2 linked regions of the Rattus norvegicus genome follow. The protein of the gene in region 1 interacts with the protein of each later gene in a pairwise test. Links are inferred from orthologs where the notes say so. Each region holds a gene or a part of one and is shown on either strand. Other genes may lie near its edges.

Region 1 (8,064 bases):
TATAAAGTTTCCAGAGTAACTCTATATTAGCTTACATCACTGTCACAAATACCTCTGATAAATGAAGTTAAAAGAGGAAAGGTATATTTTTGTTTGCAATTTCATTTACAGTTTTAGACAATTAAAGACTGATTCGCCTTGTTGTTTGGGCCAGTGCAAAAATTTAAAGTATTTGGGCTATTATCACAAGTGATGGGATAATGAAATGTGTAGAGGTTTAAGGTTAAATAATATGTAAGTTTGACAGATACTACAGAATCCTCTTCCTGTGGATGTATTTTTCCATCTCTAGTAGGAATGAGTATAAGGGCTTATTTCTCTTAGCCTTATCTACAAATCATACTGTCCAACTTTGGGCTTTTGAGAAGACATAGTGGTTGTGGGTAGTTCAGTGTTATTTCTTCTGTTTTTCATTTCTGTATTTGTGTGTGTGTGCATGTGTGCCTATGGAAACAGAAGTCAGATCCCCTGGAACTGTAGTTACAGGCAGTTATAAGCTGCCCAGCTGGGTGGTGCTGTCTGAACTTGGGTCTTCTGGAAGCGCAGAAGTGCCCTTAACCCACAAGCTACCTCTATATGCCCAGTTTTGTGTGATTTTGATTGGAATTGTTGTTATGGGTCAGTTTGAGTAGCTTTTTATGTTAAGAGCTATTCGTGTTTACCTTTGTATGAACTGTTTATCTCTTGGTATAGATGTGTTAAACACATGATTTCTACAAGATGTTTATTAGGCTCATTAACACACTGAGCTGCTGGGATCTAAGACTGCAAGCATTTTCTCGGCTTGTTAGTTTGTTTCTTCGTGCTGCTTTGTCACATACAAGCTGACATCTTCTGCTGTCAGCTCCATCAATCTGTTCCAGAAACCTTGTTGCATTTGAGTTTGAAGCAACTTGGCAAGTGAGATGTTTTTCATACGGGATGATGTATATTTCTCCCAGCATTAGGTTGTATGGTTTCTTTTTTAGTATTTCAATCTGGAATTGGTTTATAATTTATCGGGGTATAAGATGTAAAGAATGGATGCAATTTGTTTTCTCATTTTGATCTTAATATTATTTAAGAAGTCTATTTTTTCCTAATGATTTGAGATACCACTTAGACTGTATATTATTAACAGGTTTCCTGTAACAAGAATGAAGACTAACCACCCGTGAAAAATGGTGACAGGGGAATTCTTGCTGTGTGGGAGGCTGGACATTGTGGGTTTAGAAGTCCACGATCATTTAATCTGCCTTTACTCTGAAGGCTAGGTTTTCATACTGTATCAGTGGGTAACTCACCCTCAGTCGATGTAAGTGGAAGTGGGTGTGGTGTTTTTTTCCAAATGGTTTTAGCCATTTCTTTATTAGAACTCATATTCTAAGGCTATTAATCATCAATTGTTTTTATTACTGTGACCTGGGGACAATCACTCAAACATTTTTTAATGGTATGTTCCCGAGTTCTAAAATTAAACAAACGACTAAAGATTTTTACTGCATGAATTTGTAAAAATTAATGTTATAACCAAATTCATGTTCATAAAAACATTACTTTTTATCAATTTATTTTAATAACTTCCCCCACTAATATTGTGGATTGTGAGGCAAATATTTACCCTGATTGGATATGAGACAGACTAGCAGGAGTCAGGAAACTGGTGGAAATTTTGAGTTCTTCAAAGGCAGGATCACAAGGGACAGTGGGTGGAGCTGTTCGGTGTGTATGTGAGTTGTTTTGATTCTAGCCTGTGTTCTGGGTTTCCTCCCTCTGTAAAATGACTAATGAAGGAACATCTGTTTGTTTAGGGGTATTTCCAGTCTACTTTGCCTAAGGCAATAGTAACAAACCTTATATACCATGACTGTTCCAGGCAAGAGCAGGTTTTCAGCACAAACATGATGATAAACATTCCCCCTTTTGACCTCTAGGCCAGACTCTCATAGTCATGAATCGTCCAGGCTGGGATCTGGAAATCGTACTTAGGAAAGGGAGTATAGGAACTTCCTTTTGGCTGGAAATCAAAGTCCCTGCTACCATGAACCTTAGTCTCTCCGCAGGATGAGACCTGGAAAGTATACAGAATGTAAATTACCTTCCCCAGCTGGCAATTCACTAGCCAGAACAGGTTGTTTCTGTGCCTTCGTTGAAGAACAGTTTCATATACCCCAGTGAAACCCAATTTATTTAATCTAAGGAGTGTTGAATTATTTTTATAACACTTATAATACTTTCAAATGAGAAGAATCAAAATTTAAAGAAAACTGCAAATTATCCTCTCAGGAAGAACAGGCAGTCAGCTAGCAGGGGATGCATGAGAATAGGTCTACCTTCCTCCATACTGCAGATGTGAGAAATGCAGTGAGTGGCCTGGAGACTGAACTGTCACATCATGTTGCAAATAGTAAGAGCGGTATTTGAAACCACTTGCCTCATAAAGGTTTTCTGCACAATGACTGTGATTTTTAAGTTTTTTCTTTCTCTCTCTCTCTCTCTCTCTCTCTCTCTCTCTCTCTCTGTGTGTGTGTGTGTGTGTGTGTGTGTGTGTTGGGGGAGTACTAGTTATGTGTTTGCATGTACATGGAGGTCACAGGCTGAAGACATGTATATTCCTCAATCTTAAGTTCTACCATAATGAAATGCTTAGTTTATTTTAAAATTCCTATTTTTAAAAAAAGAGCTTACTCTCTCTTTTCTCTAGAAGGTTCTCAAAATACGCTGCGGCAAAAGCTGGTATATTGTCCGGTTGCTCCCTCAGAATCTCCCGTGTCAGCCCTTCAAGAAGATTTCCAAATCCTTGTGGAATTCGGTAGTGGGTGTTGGAGAAAGGAATCGACATCTCCTCGGAAAGAATTGCCTATGGTACCTAAAGATTTAGTAAAAAGTGTCTAATTTAAATTACATAATCATAACTATCACAAACCAATTCATCATCATGACTCAAATCATTTTTTCAAACACACATACCATATTTTGGACTTATAAAAAGAAAAAAGTCACACAATCCAGGCCCTGGTGATCTATCTCAGCAGATCTGAGTTAAATCCATGCAGACCATATTGTGGACGAAGAGAACTGACTCTTACAAAGTGTTCTCTGACTTCCATAGGAAGGCTGTATCACCAAGGCTGTGCCCATACACATACACACTAAATAAATGAATATAAAATCCATCCCACCAAGTGTACCCATTTCTCCCAGAGTTTTTTTTTTCTTTTTCTTTTTCTTTCTTTTTTTTTTTTCCAGAGCTGAGGACCGAACCCAGGGCCTTGTGCTTGCTAGGCAAGCGCTCTACCACCGAGCCAAATCCCCAACCCCTTCTCCCAGAGTTTTGAATTCTACCACTGAACCTTTCTTTTTTTTTTTTTCCTTTCTTTCTTTCTTTCTTTTTCTTTCTTTCTTTCTTTCTTTCTTTCTTTCTTTCTTTCTTCCTTCCTTCCTTCCTTCCTTTCTTCCTTTCTTCCTTCCTTTCTTTCTTTCTTTTTTTTGACAGAGTCTCTCTACACAGTTCTGGCTGTTCTGGAAGTATGTAGACCAGGCTGGCCTCTAACTCAGAGATATATCTTATCTGCCTCTGTCTCCCCAGTGCTGGGATTCGAACCAGCCTGGTAGATAAAGACCATGCTCCATGCTCGGTGAATTATAGTACTATAAGTGCAGAACCATTAAATTGGACAAATACATACTTTTAAAGCTAGAGAACCATGATTTTCACTAGATATTAAGTACTTGTCTTTCTGTCCTTAAAAGGTGAGGGTAGATTGTGCTAGCCCACAATATTGAAGAGACAGTGATTGCTGAGAAGCTAGTATAATCAATCCCCTTTACATTGTTTAAAGTCTAAAATTAAAAAAAAAAAACAAACAACAAACTGGTTAGCGGGGGTGGGGGTGGGGCACGGTGCTGCACACTGTCAATTCCAGCACTTGGGGGGCAAGGGAAGGTGGATCTTTGTTGAGTTCCAGGACAGCCAGGGGCTACGCAGAGAAACTCTGTCTCGGAACCCAAAAACAACTAAACAAACAGACAAAAAAACTAGTCCTTCTAGAAATTATTATAATTTGTTGAATAGTTTCACCTTTTTTTCAGCCCCAACTTCTGAAGTTATGGCCTACAACGTTTTCAAGTGCCTCTGCTTTCCGACAAGGGATTGAGAAAGGGAGGTCGTGGTTTTGGGAGCCAGCTTTTGGAGTTTGGGGAGTCTTATTTTTCTGGTCTTGTCAGGCCTTCTTCTATTATTCGAGGACTGGTTTAAACATGGCTGACAAAAGAGCTTCGAGCCTGGGTTTGTGTTACCCCGAGAAGCTCAAAGGCGGCGCTGGTTGGGGTCGAGGCTGGAGGTCTAAAGGTTTAACAAGGCCTAACGTGTGGAGATTCTTCCCTTTTTTCTCTTTTGGGCACAAACAGGAGATTAGATATCGAATCTTGAGAGTTGTGAAAAGCGGGGGAGGACGGACGGTCGAGGGGGAAGGCAGGTCAAACCGTGGGCAGGACGTCGATGACCTAGAGTTCCAGGTTCTCCCAGAAAGGGCTTGCCAGGCTCCCTATCTGGTCCAGGAATTGCGGGAGTGTTGGGGATGGGGAGAGACTACGACATGAAGGAAAAAGGCGAAGCCTCCACATTGGTGAGGGAGTGGGGGAAACTGCCTCACCTCTTCTTTCTCTTCAAGCTGGTGCGGATGGTTCCAGTGTTTTATCTCGTTGCTGGGTAACCGTTTTTTCTTTTTTTTTCCTTTCTTTTTTTTTCTAAACTACGGCGGCCGGGAGGAGAGGGGAGCACCCGGTGCCGCGCCGTACAGCGGATGGTTTCGCGCACTGAAGGCTTGAGGGTGGGGCCCGCTAGGGTAACCCTTCCAGGCCCCGCCCACCACGCAAGATCCCGCCTCTGTCCTTATCCCCGCCTCCTGCCTGAGGGCTCTTCCTGAGAGCGGGTAAATTAGGATCATCTCAAACATGGTTTCCCCCCGGCCTGTTGGGCTAATGCTGCTGCTCATAATCGCGCGGGTCAGCAGAGGTGCAGGTGAGGTGTCACAACTCTAGCGGACGCTTGCCTTTCAGATCCTCTGCAGGATCTTGGCATGCGTCCTCTTTAAAGGTCGGCCTTGAGTCAGAACCGGTCTTACCCTACCTAGTCCTGGCCGCAGGGTACAGCTGGGCCCAGCTATACTGCCTTTTCCTTGCGGGGTACTTCACTTGCAGCATAGAAGGCAGAGAAGACATCGGTTTACCCACTGGGGCAGGCTCCAGTGTCCCCAGACCGAAGCCTTTAGGAGTGCTCAAAGAGAAGGGGGCGAAGCTAGTTAGATAATATTTGGAAACAGGTGACTGAGTCATCCAAAATATTTCCACACCTGCCCCCTCAGTGGTGCCCTTGGGGAGGGCTTCTATCGGGATGGGTGCCTTGAGGGAATTACATTTTACTAGTTTAAGTGGTTATTAGGGCTAAGAAATACAGCCCCCTCACTAGCTCAGAATAATTTAAAGTTCAGCTCTGACTTTTGATGCAGCTTGAGAGATATTAGTGGAGGGTAAGACTCATCACACTGGGGAGGGAGCTGATTCACATGGCCATTGTGCAGGTCACAACTTGTTATCTGACTAACCTGGGCTGGACATTGCCCATGGAGTTACCAAAAGATAGGAATCTATTGATTCAAAGTAAAGGGTTAATGCTGGATCCACCCACCTCTTTTCTTCTTTGGATCACTGAAAGAGTAGACCCCAAAGACTGTCAATAAATGAAATTTGAGGGGTTGTGAATATAGCTCGGTGGTAAAACTCTTGGCTAGAATGCTAGGAACTTGGGCTACCATCACCACAGCAATTAAAATGAAGGTGGAAATGACAAGAAATGGCATGATTGTGTTCTAATCAAGCACCAGCCAGACAGCAGCCTGTCAGTGGGTTTTCCATTTCAAAGCTAATACCCTATACTGATCGTCCCCATCTCTCAATCCTCTTATGATTTTGGGGACCTATCACAGGAGGTGGGGAGAAGGTAGAGCCACTGTTTTCTTAATTTTCTTTTTAAGGGCTGTCAAATTTAATATCACTGTTTTGTTTCCTTTGGGTCATATTAGGTAACCTTCCTTGATTACCTTGGCAGTATTCATTCATTTTTTGCTTCAGATCATCTCCCTTAGCTCTTTCTTGCACATCCTAACATCTTTCCTTTAACTCTCTCCTTTTGCTACATTTTTGTTACATTTTAACAGTGAAAGGACCTATAAATTCCGCTACCCAGTTTGAGAATGGTAACACTGTGATTTTTATCAAGACTGCCAGGAGAGTCCTCCTTAGTATGTCTGCTGGGTTCCCTTCAGAAGTAACTGCTAACCTAACATTTTTTGTTAGTCTACTTATCATGGTATCTTCTCCACAGCACTCACTCTTGTTTGTCACTTCAAGTTACAAAATGAAGGGAAACATCCAACACCTTAAAATAACCACGTTTGTATATGCCTGGCGTTTCTGAGGTGCGGTTCTTTTGTTCATTGTCCAGTTCCTCAGTATGTTTGTCTTTTCCACGTAGAATGTGAGCTTCATCAGGATAGGGAATATAATTTTTTTTGCATTATTATCACAATGTAACGGCAGCAAAAAGGAAATTGCAATACCTTGGGAATTAGATGACATGGATTCTAATTCTGTCATAAACTACCTTCTGAGGCCAGTCAAGGCCCGTCTTCAGTATCTTAAGCCCTCTGTCACACAAGTAAGCTCCTAGTAGATTGTAAGATCCTTGGTAGCAAGAATTTCTATCTATTATTGGAATTATTTTTCCTTCCAGTGTTACAGTCTCAATGTTAAAGTATCAGGAACCAATAAAGAGATATTTGTTGAATTCATAGCTGTTCTAATTATTCTTAAAAATTGCTTAATCTATTTGTGTCCTAGTCCCTGGACGGGTAATGTGGTTAGATTATATCTCTTGATCAGTAAGTAACATAATTATACTGTTATTTTTTTTCTTTTCTTTTCTTTTCTTTTTTTTTTTTTTTCTCGGAGCTGGGGACCGAACCCAGGACCTTGTGCTTGCTAGGCAAGTGCTCTACCACTGAGCTAAATCCCCAACCCCTATACTATTATTATAAAGATATTTTCCACCTCTAAGATTTTTTTTTCGCTCATCATAAATCCATTCACAAAGAGGTTCTATAAATGAATGTTGGCAAACACTGACTGGCTTGAAAAGGCATTCCCCATCCTATGGACTTTAACATTGTTGCCTGTGTAAGCAATATTTTCCTCACTTCTGTCCTTCCAACTCCAGTCTTCTCTCTACTTAGCTCTTATTTATGCATTTGCTTTTCAGCTTTTGTTCTGTATCTACCCAAGACAGGGCCCTCCCACACATATGCCTCCCGGTTTCCCCAGCAGGCTGCCAAATTGCTTATGCAATTCTGGGATGTTGTGGTCCTAGAGTTGTTTGCTCATGGTACATGCATCTTTAGCTTGTTAAGCCTTCTGGATAATCTTTGATTGTCATGTAGGCTTCCTGATTGAACTAGCTCCTGAGTGAGAAAGAGAGCTGAGGATTCTTAGGGTTAGCCTGTTACCTGAAGAGCAGTATTAATAGGCCACCAAGCTTGTGAGGGGACCCCCATTAGCTCTACTTCCCTGTTAAGAATAGCCTAAGGGGACTGCCATCTTTTGTAGCTTCCAGGGAAGAGAATGTCAGCTTTGTTAATTCTAATTCTCTTCCCTGTCTATCACGTTTATTTAAAAAAAAAAGCCAAACCAAAACAAACCAAAAAGCCCTTAATTTTGTAAATTATTTTCTTTGGAGGATTTTTAAAACTCCCCCAAAATTGGGATGTAAGTTCTATGATTTTCCTACTTAAATTTCTATGAGCTCACTGGGATCATTTGGATCAATGCTTGTTATTTTAAAAGTACTCCAATATAGGCTGTGAGTTAAAAATAGAAATGATCTCGTTAAAGTGAATTCTTATTCAGTCTTGTTAGTGACTCTTAGCACAGAATCCAATATGCAAGTATGCCTCCCCTTTCTTTTGCTCGTGAAATGGTGACGAGACCTTTTTTTTCAGAGATTTTTAACCTCCTGTCTCTACATGATCT
Region 2 (8,220 bases), on another chromosome or scaffold:
TGGGGTGAGGGGTCAGGCAGTGGGACAGACAATTCTGTTCACTTCCCATCCCTAGCCCACCCTTCAGATTCTATCGCCCCTTCCTTTACTGTTAGGTCTGTCCCCAACAGTTCTCCCAGGCTGACCTGAGCCTTGCCCCTTGACTGCTGGCTCCCTTCTGGAACCAAGTCTAGGAATACAGTACCTCCTTAACATACCCTGAATGACCGTTTCCTCAGAGGCCCCAGTTTATAGTGTGCCCCTTACCTTCATAGTTAATGCAACCGTTGCTGTCCTCATGCCCCGCCACTAGCATCTCGACTTCTTCCTCTGTCATCTTCTCCCCTGCAGAGGAAGGAACATTCTTAGAACTGCATGACGGTGAAATTTATCAAGGTGGCAGCTTAGCTCCACATGGTCACAGACCCTTACCCAGTGTGACTAGGACATGACGGATTTCAGCACCCATGACAGTGCCATTCCCTTCTTTGTCAAACACACGAAGGCCTTCAACATAATCCTCGTAGGTTCCTTGGTCCTTGTTCTTGGCCACAGTCTGCAGCATGGGCAGGAAGTGCTCAAAGTCCAGCACCTTCACATTCATCTCTGTCGTGTGGGAGGTAGAAGTGCCAGACGAGCAGTCACACGTGTTCTCAGGACACAGTGGTAGAGAACACAACTGACTGGCCAGAAGAGGGAGATCAGTGGAACTGGCTGAGATAAAACTTGCTCAAGGTTGGCGCATACACACACACACACACATACGTGTGTGTGTGTACATATACATATATGATGATTTTACCTGAACAACCATGAACCCACTAAGGTCTTGAAATGCTCACCATCGCTCTTGGGGTTCCCCAGGACCTTGAGCACCTCGGCGTTGGTAGGGTTCTGGCCCAGGGCCCGCATCACATCCCCACACTGGCTGTACAGGATCTTGCCATCGCCTGTTCGGTCAAACAGCTGGAAAGCCTCCTTGAATTCTGAGGATTCAGATGAACAGCAGCACCAGGGATTAACCCAGTGCTGCTGCCAACTCAACTCTAGCATGCTGCAGAGACCAGATATCTTGTCCTCCTGTACACCGAAGACTGCGCCTAAGGATCTAATTTCTATCAACTCAAATGCCCCGCATAAAGACACGCAGCCTTCTTCCTTACCTCAAGGTGGTAGCCATCGCTTACACACCCCCTGAGCTACAGCAGGCTAGGCCCTCCACCACCACTACACTGCTCGGCAGGAATTTGCCACCGCCCAGGCTAGGTCCTGCCCATATAAGGAAGTAGAGCAGTGGTCTGGACTCTAGCTTCCCATTCCCACCCTTCCCTTCCAGAGACCTTCCAGGGGGTGAAGCTAAGCCACGGGCTTAGCAAACTCTCCAGTCCCCATCTCAACAGAATATCAAGGCACTGCTCTTTACCGTATTGGCAATCCAAGCTTAAGGAGGGGGCAGTTATCACAGGAGAGGCAAAAGCAGCGGAACACAAGCATAAGAGACCCAACACACAACAGGCAGTAATCATTGTTTCACATACCCACACCACCCAAAACTCACCCAGTGGTTGGGGCTCAGATCTAGAGTGGAAGGGGAAGGAAGAAAGAATGAGAAAGAAAATGGAGGATCTAGAGCCGAGGAGAAGGAAATCCACGGGGCACCCTCCTGGGAGTGCTGGAGATGACAGGTTGGGATCTAGAGGAAGGGGTCCCTCTCGGTAAGGGTGACCTCAGTTGTGGGTCAGAGACTGCCTACCTGCGGTCTGGTCCTCGGTGAAGTCACACTGCTCGGAGAAGAAGGGATTGGTCAGTACTGAGGTCCAATCCCGCAAACTTCTCTCCCGGCTTAACAAACTTCTGTTTGAAGCCGAGGACTTGCTTCCCAAGGCAGAGAGAGCCCTAGACCTTCCAACCCCACATCCAACCTCCCAAAACCTGGGCGTGCCCACGTCCACCGCTTTTCCTACCCCCACCCGCGGTCCTCTCCCTGCCCCAAATCCCCCTAATCTCCCGATTCCCAGGGCCCACCATCTTGGCTGCTGAGCTATGCGGGACCTTTGCCGGCTGTAATGGCTCCGACTCGGGACCCAACCCCAACCTTAGTACGTCCCACGGCGCTTGACGTCACCCTCCGCAGTTTCATCCAATAGGCATACTAGTTTGGGCTCATGCCGATGACATCACTATATTAATAATGAGGTGAGGGGGGCGCTCCAACTCTGCTCAGGAGCACGGCGGAGGCCTAGGGTGTGACTCTTGGAAGCCTTTCTTCCGAACTGCACTAAGAGCAGGGGATTTGGACTTTTGCAGAAGAAAGGACTACCGCTCCCGTCCTTCCCCTTCCTCAAAAGAAACCAGTCGGAAACCAAAGCAGGAACCATGTTTTTATTTCAAAACCGTAAGTGCCCCCTAGTGGCAGGAACGCACTACTGGCCGCACAGGAGGTGGGGCAAGTTTCCGATCCCGCAGGTTCTACGTGGGGTGGGGTGGAGTTGGGTGGGGTAGAAAGAAAGTTGTCCAGCGCTGGCGGCTGCGCTACAGTCGGATGGGGAAACGCACTGCCTGCGCTTGTCTGGTTGACCGGGATCGTTGCCTCTCTAGAGGGCACTAGGGGCTGCGGAGCTCAGAGGCTTAGGATGTGCTTCAGGAAGGCTGCACACACGAGAGGAGAGGAGAGGACTTCAGAAACTGACCTTTGAGTAAACGAGGGTACACTCCCAACCCCCTCAAGACTCCTCACCCCCCTGGTCATCCTGCCCCCTCACCCTCATAGTTGATGCAGCCGTTGCTGTCCTCGTGGCCTGCCAAAACAGTCTCTACCTCTTCCTCAGTCATCTTCTCTCCTGAACCCAAACACAGTTAGAGCCTCTGCCTTCCCGTACTCACTAGTCCAAGCCACTCTCAGGGTGGTTCGTCCTCCCACCCTCCCTGTCGTCTTTCTGTATGGCACTTATCAACAGTTCCTTGGAGCTGCTAAAAGCTTTGATAGACAAAGAAACGAGCTGCAGGGGTTGAGACTTGCATGAAATCCACCCAAGTGTGGCTTGCAAAGAGGGCATGAGGCTCCCACCACGTTCCCTGCCCTCGGCTCATTGCTAGACATCTAGGCTCTACCAGCTCCTCCAGGTCCACCTGCTTCTCCATCCCACAGTTCTGGGCCCTGCCTCACCGAGAGTGGTAAGAACGTGTCTGAGCTCCGCTCCCATGACTTTGCCGTTGCCCTCTTTGTCAAACACACGCAGCCCCTCTAGGTAGTCCTCATATGTGCCTTGGTCCCGGTGCTTGGCCACTGCCTGCAGCATAGGCAGGAACGTCTCAAAGTCTACACGCCGGGACTTCAGCTCTGGCAATTAGACAGAGATGAGAGAGGGAAAGAGAGGGCGAGAGAGAGAGAGAGAGAGAGAGAGAGAGAGAGAGAGAGAGAGAGATATCACTGAGGTGTGGGATCCAACCTTACTATACATAGTGACTTTCATCCCTTTCAGCACTGAGGATGTTTTCCTTCCCTGTGTTTGACAGTTTTTGAGTCCTGAGATCCACCCCGGTCCTCTGTCACCTTACCAAGTCTGTTGAAAATTGATACTGTTACCAGGCACGGCAGTGCAGTCTTGTAACCACAGCTACCAGGCAAGTTCAAAGCCAGCCAAAACAACTTAAGACTATCTCAACGGGGGGGGGGGGGGGGGGGGGGCAGGGATGTATCGAAGTGGCAGGACACACGCAAAGCACAAAGAGAGAACCACTACACTAGTCCATGTGTGGTGGCACACACCTTCAGTCTGAGCACTGACAGGCTGAGTTTGAGGCCAATCTGGTCTATCTAGTGAGTTCCAGGCTAAGCAGGGCTATGTAGAGACGACCCTATATAATAATAATAATAATAATAATAATAATAATAATAATAATAATACCAATAACCCTATCTAAAGAATATTAATTAAAAGTGTAAAGAGAGAAAGAAAACTGGCAACTAGGGCTGCTGTAAGTTCCAGGCCAACCTGAGTAAAAGGAAAAAGAAAAAAGGACTTCCATAATAAAGGGCTTGCCTGTCTTGCCTGAGGCCCTGGAGTCAACCCAGCAGCACCACATAAACTGGAGCAATCGAACTCCAGTGGGCGGTAGACAGGAGGTACAGGTAGGAGGATCAGAGTTCAAGGGCATTCTTGGCTGCGATACCGAAATTCTGTCTCAAAAAACAGGATGAAGAGAAAGTTGCTGGCTAGAAATGGCACTCCGTGGCACGGGCAGAACGCTGTGTTCAACCTCCAACACCAAGAAGATGGAAACCCCACAAATCTCAAGGTTCCTCTCACCATCACTCTTGGGGTTCCCCAGGACCTTGAGCACCTCGGCGTTGGTAGGGTTCTGGCCCAGGGCCCGCATCAGGTCCCCACACTGGCTGTACAGGATCTTGCCATCACCCACTCGGTCAAACAGCTCAAAGGCCTCTCTGAACTCTGAGATGTAGGGAGAAGGCAATGTGACCAGGGATTCCCATCACCTCCAGCCGGAAGGGAGGTTTGCTTTAGAAATTATGTGCTCGAGCTGGGCACAGGAGGGAGGAGAACAGGACAAGTGTGGGAGGTTTCAAGGTCAGGACTGTCGTTAGGGAACAGAGAATCGGACCAGGAGTTTGGTGTTGGACAATGGGGCTTAGGAAACAGGCTTCTCCTCACCCTCCAGCTGGTCCTTGTTAAACTCGATCTGTAGGGGACAAAAAGGGCAGGTGAGGAGATGACAGGGCTTATTCAGTCCCTCTCTAGCACAACCAACTGGCAGCCACTTCTGGGGAGGGGCCCAAAGGGATGAGGCTGGGAGCCCGGCCACTTTAGTCCCATTCCCAGCCCTGGGCTTTGGGAGCACCCCAAGAGGAATTATAGGGGGAGGGTTTCTTGGGAGCAGGGTTAATCCCATACCACCTGTTCCCTTCCCTCCCGCTACCCCAGTCCTGCATCCCTCACATAACTGGGGGCTGAACAAAGGCTAAATTTACCCCTGCCCCCAGCTGTGATTGTCTAACAAGTCTGTCCTCTTCAGTCTCCCCTCCTGGGGTTCAACAGCTGAGCCAGGAGCAGACAGCACCTCTCTCCCCTGGAAACTGGCCTGGCCTGGGAGCCCCAACCTCATTCTAGCGGTTCATTCATTCCCTACCCTTCCCACATCTTCCCGGTCCCCAATCCCCAAGGCTGCACTGCACCTTTGAACTACCCCTTCCAGATTCACACACTTCCCAGGACTCACCACCACTTTGGAGAGATCAACAGGGGGCTCTTGGGTTTTCACAGGGGTCTGGGGGGCAGCTGGCTCGGCCTTGGTCTTGGCTAGAGGGGTCCCTGCTGTAGACTTGGCAGCAGGCTTAGAGATGGAGGGTCCTGCTGGCTTCTTCACAGGAGCATCCTTCTTGGGAGGCATGATGTCAGGTGGCAGAAGAGCAGTGTGCCGACAGGGGCACCATCTCTGTTTAAATAGGCAGGGAGTCTGGGGTGTCAAGGGGCGGGGGCAGCGGCGGGGACAGGGAGCCAGTTGGCAAGGGTGAGGGAGAAGAAACTTCTGCCTGTCTGCCCTCACTCCCCTGGCCGCCTGTGGTAAAGAGCTCTTGCCCCCAAAGTATTCTTCCTCCTGACACCACTCCCCTAAGGCTGAACAGAATGTTTTCTTTAAGGGTACAGGGAAGAAACAAGGGACTTCTCAGAACAGGGACTGGTAACCTCCAGGGTGACGATAGGACGTTTGCCAGTGATTCTGAGATAGGAGCTAAGGGAAGAGAGAAAAAACTAAACTAAAAAGCAAACAAAAGCTTTCATTACTTTTAGACTGTGGAAAAGCCCAAGCAGAGCAAGGACTTAGGGGTGGCATGGGGGTATGGGGGTGTGAAGGGTATGGGGGTATGGGGGCGGGACAGAGTAACAACCTAGTGTCAAGTGGGAAGTTTTAAAATATGTTCTGGAAACATTAAAGGTGAGAGAAGGGGGTCTTTTCACTCCTTTCTGCTCATTCCTGTATCTTTAGAACTCGAAGTCCCTGGGCCCCCACCTACCCCCACCCCCGCACTGTAACCATAGCATGGCATTACCCACTGAATCCTACACCTAATGCTGATTTAGGGGTTCCAGTGTAGGCAAGGTTTAGCATCTGTCACATATAATTCCAAAGAAGGAACATTTTCCAACAAGACAATGTTATTCAAATCAGACAAGAGGCTAGGATGAGGAGACACAGACAGACAGACAGGCAGGCAGGCAGGCAGGCGCTCGTGTGCGCACACACACACACACACACACACACACTCACACTCACACAGAGGGAGAGGACCCTGGGAGACAATGAGCCCTCTAATACCCCAAAAAGGTTACAGAATCTCCTAAGAAGTTGGTAGGTATCCACACTGGCACCCAACCAGTCAGGATCACAACAAAAACCTTGGCTCAGCTTTGAGTCACAAACCTTGCTGGAAGCGCTGGCAAAGGGAAGAGATGATGTTTGGGAGCTGGAAGGGAGTTCTGGCTACTCTCTTCTTGGATAAAGAAGATTTAGGTAGCATTCTGAGAGACTGGTCATTCCACTTAGGCCCTGGAGTTCACAGAGTGGCAGTGTGTCTTCCATTTGTAAAGGCGTCAGAATCTTTTTACTGCAAATTGTCCCATTTTTGGAAAATAAGGAATCCTTCCGCAAACAACACACCAGTTTCCCTCACTTACACTCACTCCTAAGCCTTAGAGAGGAAAAAGGCCCTCCCAGCCCCTCAAAACTCACCTTGCCGGTTCCAAGGAAGGGGCAGGTGGGGGGGCGGGACTCAGGGCAGCTCCGGTCCCTGAAGGGTTAACAGCGGCGGGCGCAGAGCATGCTGGGAGTCGTAGTCCACGCACGCCCACGTGCTCGCAGGAAACCTTCCCCCGGTGGTGAGAGTTGGCGGTCACTTCCGGCCCGTGGTGGCAATTGTTGACTCAGACACTGAGGCGTGCGCCAGTTCCGGAATTGAAAGGGCTTGAGACGTCCCCACCCTTGACCCTAGGGATGCAGACTCAGGGACGCCCGCAAGGCCAGGGGCGGGGCCGGGCGGTAGGCAGGCGGAGGCTGGGGCTGCTTTCGCTTCCTCAGGCCGTTAGCTGCGGCGTCACGTAACTTGAAGAGTTTCGCATTTTTATTTTATTTTTTTACACATTTGATCTTAGCCGAAAAGCCTAGAGGCTGGCGACTGAGGTAGATGTTAAGATTTACAGTTTAGCCTGGTCATCTGCTCCAGACTTTCCTCCGTGTGCAGGCGTCGGCTGACGCCGCCTATGCAGCGCGTTCGTCCCCGGGAGATCCCCAACAAATGCAGCGCTGGGCTCTGCAGCCTTTCCTTCCTTTTCCGACACCATTGCCCAGCCTGAGTGTTTGCTTTCTCCCTAGCGTTTACCGAAGGTTTGGGTGCAGAGAGGGAACCGACCCACCGTCCCGAACCACATAAATAAATAACTCTGGCAGCGCGCCTCATCCTAGAGCTTGTGCAAGAAAGTGGACCAGAAATAGCTCAGGGTAGAAGACTCCCAGCGGCACCGTAGGAAGAATGAGATATAAACCAATTTTGTAGCCAGAAGCTAGAGAAAACTCCGAAGAGTAAAAAGGTCTGTACGGGTGCAAGGGATGTAGCGCAGTTGGTAAAGTGCTTGCTCCCCATGTATAGAGCTCTGGGTCCCAGCACTCAGGAGGTGCAGACAGGTCAGTGGGCACGTAGGGAGTTCAGGCCAGCCTGGGCTAAGTGAGATCCAGTCTCAGAGCGGAAAGAAAAGGAATAACCTGATACAGGAAACAATATTCCAGGTGACTGCTCCGCAGACTGCACACTAATAAAGGGAGTGACCTCTCTCGAGGTACTCTGTGGTGCTGATCAAGACTTCAGGCCCCGCGGAGCCTGTACTGTCATTTGGCCCCCATGTAAAATAACTCTCATGATTAGACATGTTAACATTTTTTTTTCATTGAGACAGGGCCTGTCTACATAGCGCTGACTGTCCTGGAACTCAGATCCACCTGCCTCTGCCTCCCTGTAGGGGATAAAGGCTTGCACCACCATGCCTAGCCCAAAGTTTTATTTTTATGTGGGTGAAGATCCAGGACAGCCAGGGCTACAGATGAGAGGGGTCGGGGTGTGTATGTGTGAGGAGAATCGGAAGTCCTGAGTTAGTCTCGGCTATGAAGTTTTAGTCCATCCTGGGACACAAGAGCTTGTCTTAAACTTGAAAACAAGAACAATGAAGCAGA

What was found.
Region 2: the proteins of Spa17 (region 1) and Myl6bl1 interact in binary tests that used the Homo sapiens proteins (3 or more experiments, as listed by UniProt). The two-hybrid records come from large-scale screens. The link is inferred for Rattus norvegicus from reciprocal best matches to the Homo sapiens genes SPA17 and MYL6B.

What each region holds. Positions count from the first base shown.
Region 1 is NC_086026.1:45,502,596-45,510,659, forward strand, and holds the start of Spa17 (sperm surface protein Sp17), read right to left. Parts: upstream 4,668-8,064; 5' UTR 4,635-4,667; intron 4,197-4,634; exon of another isoform or gene 4,061-4,196; intron 2,849-4,060; 5' UTR 2,822-2,848; coding exon 2,668-2,821; intron 1-2,667. UniProt on the Homo sapiens protein: Sperm surface zona pellucida binding protein. Helps to bind spermatozoa to the zona pellucida with high affinity. Might function in binding zona pellucida and carbohydrates.
Region 2 is NC_086025.1:1,496,269-1,504,488, forward strand, and holds Myl6bl1 (myosin light chain 6B), read right to left. Parts: upstream 4,891-8,220; coding exon 4,653-4,890; exon of another isoform or gene 4,434-4,652; coding exon 4,290-4,433; exon of another isoform or gene 4,160-4,289; coding exon of another isoform or gene 4,128-4,159; exon of another isoform or gene 3,496-4,127; intron 3,320-3,495; coding exon 3,146-3,319; exon of another isoform or gene 2,820-3,145; coding exon 2,742-2,819; exon of another isoform or gene 2,692-2,741; intron 2,686-2,691; exon of another isoform or gene 2,629-2,685; coding exon 2,600-2,628; 3' UTR 2,347-2,599; downstream 1-2,346. Other genes in the region: Myl6 (myosin light polypeptide 6), read right to left, coding at 215-324, 412-585, 822-965, 1,733-1,760, 2,005-2,007. UniProt on the Homo sapiens protein: Regulatory light chain of myosin. Does not bind calcium.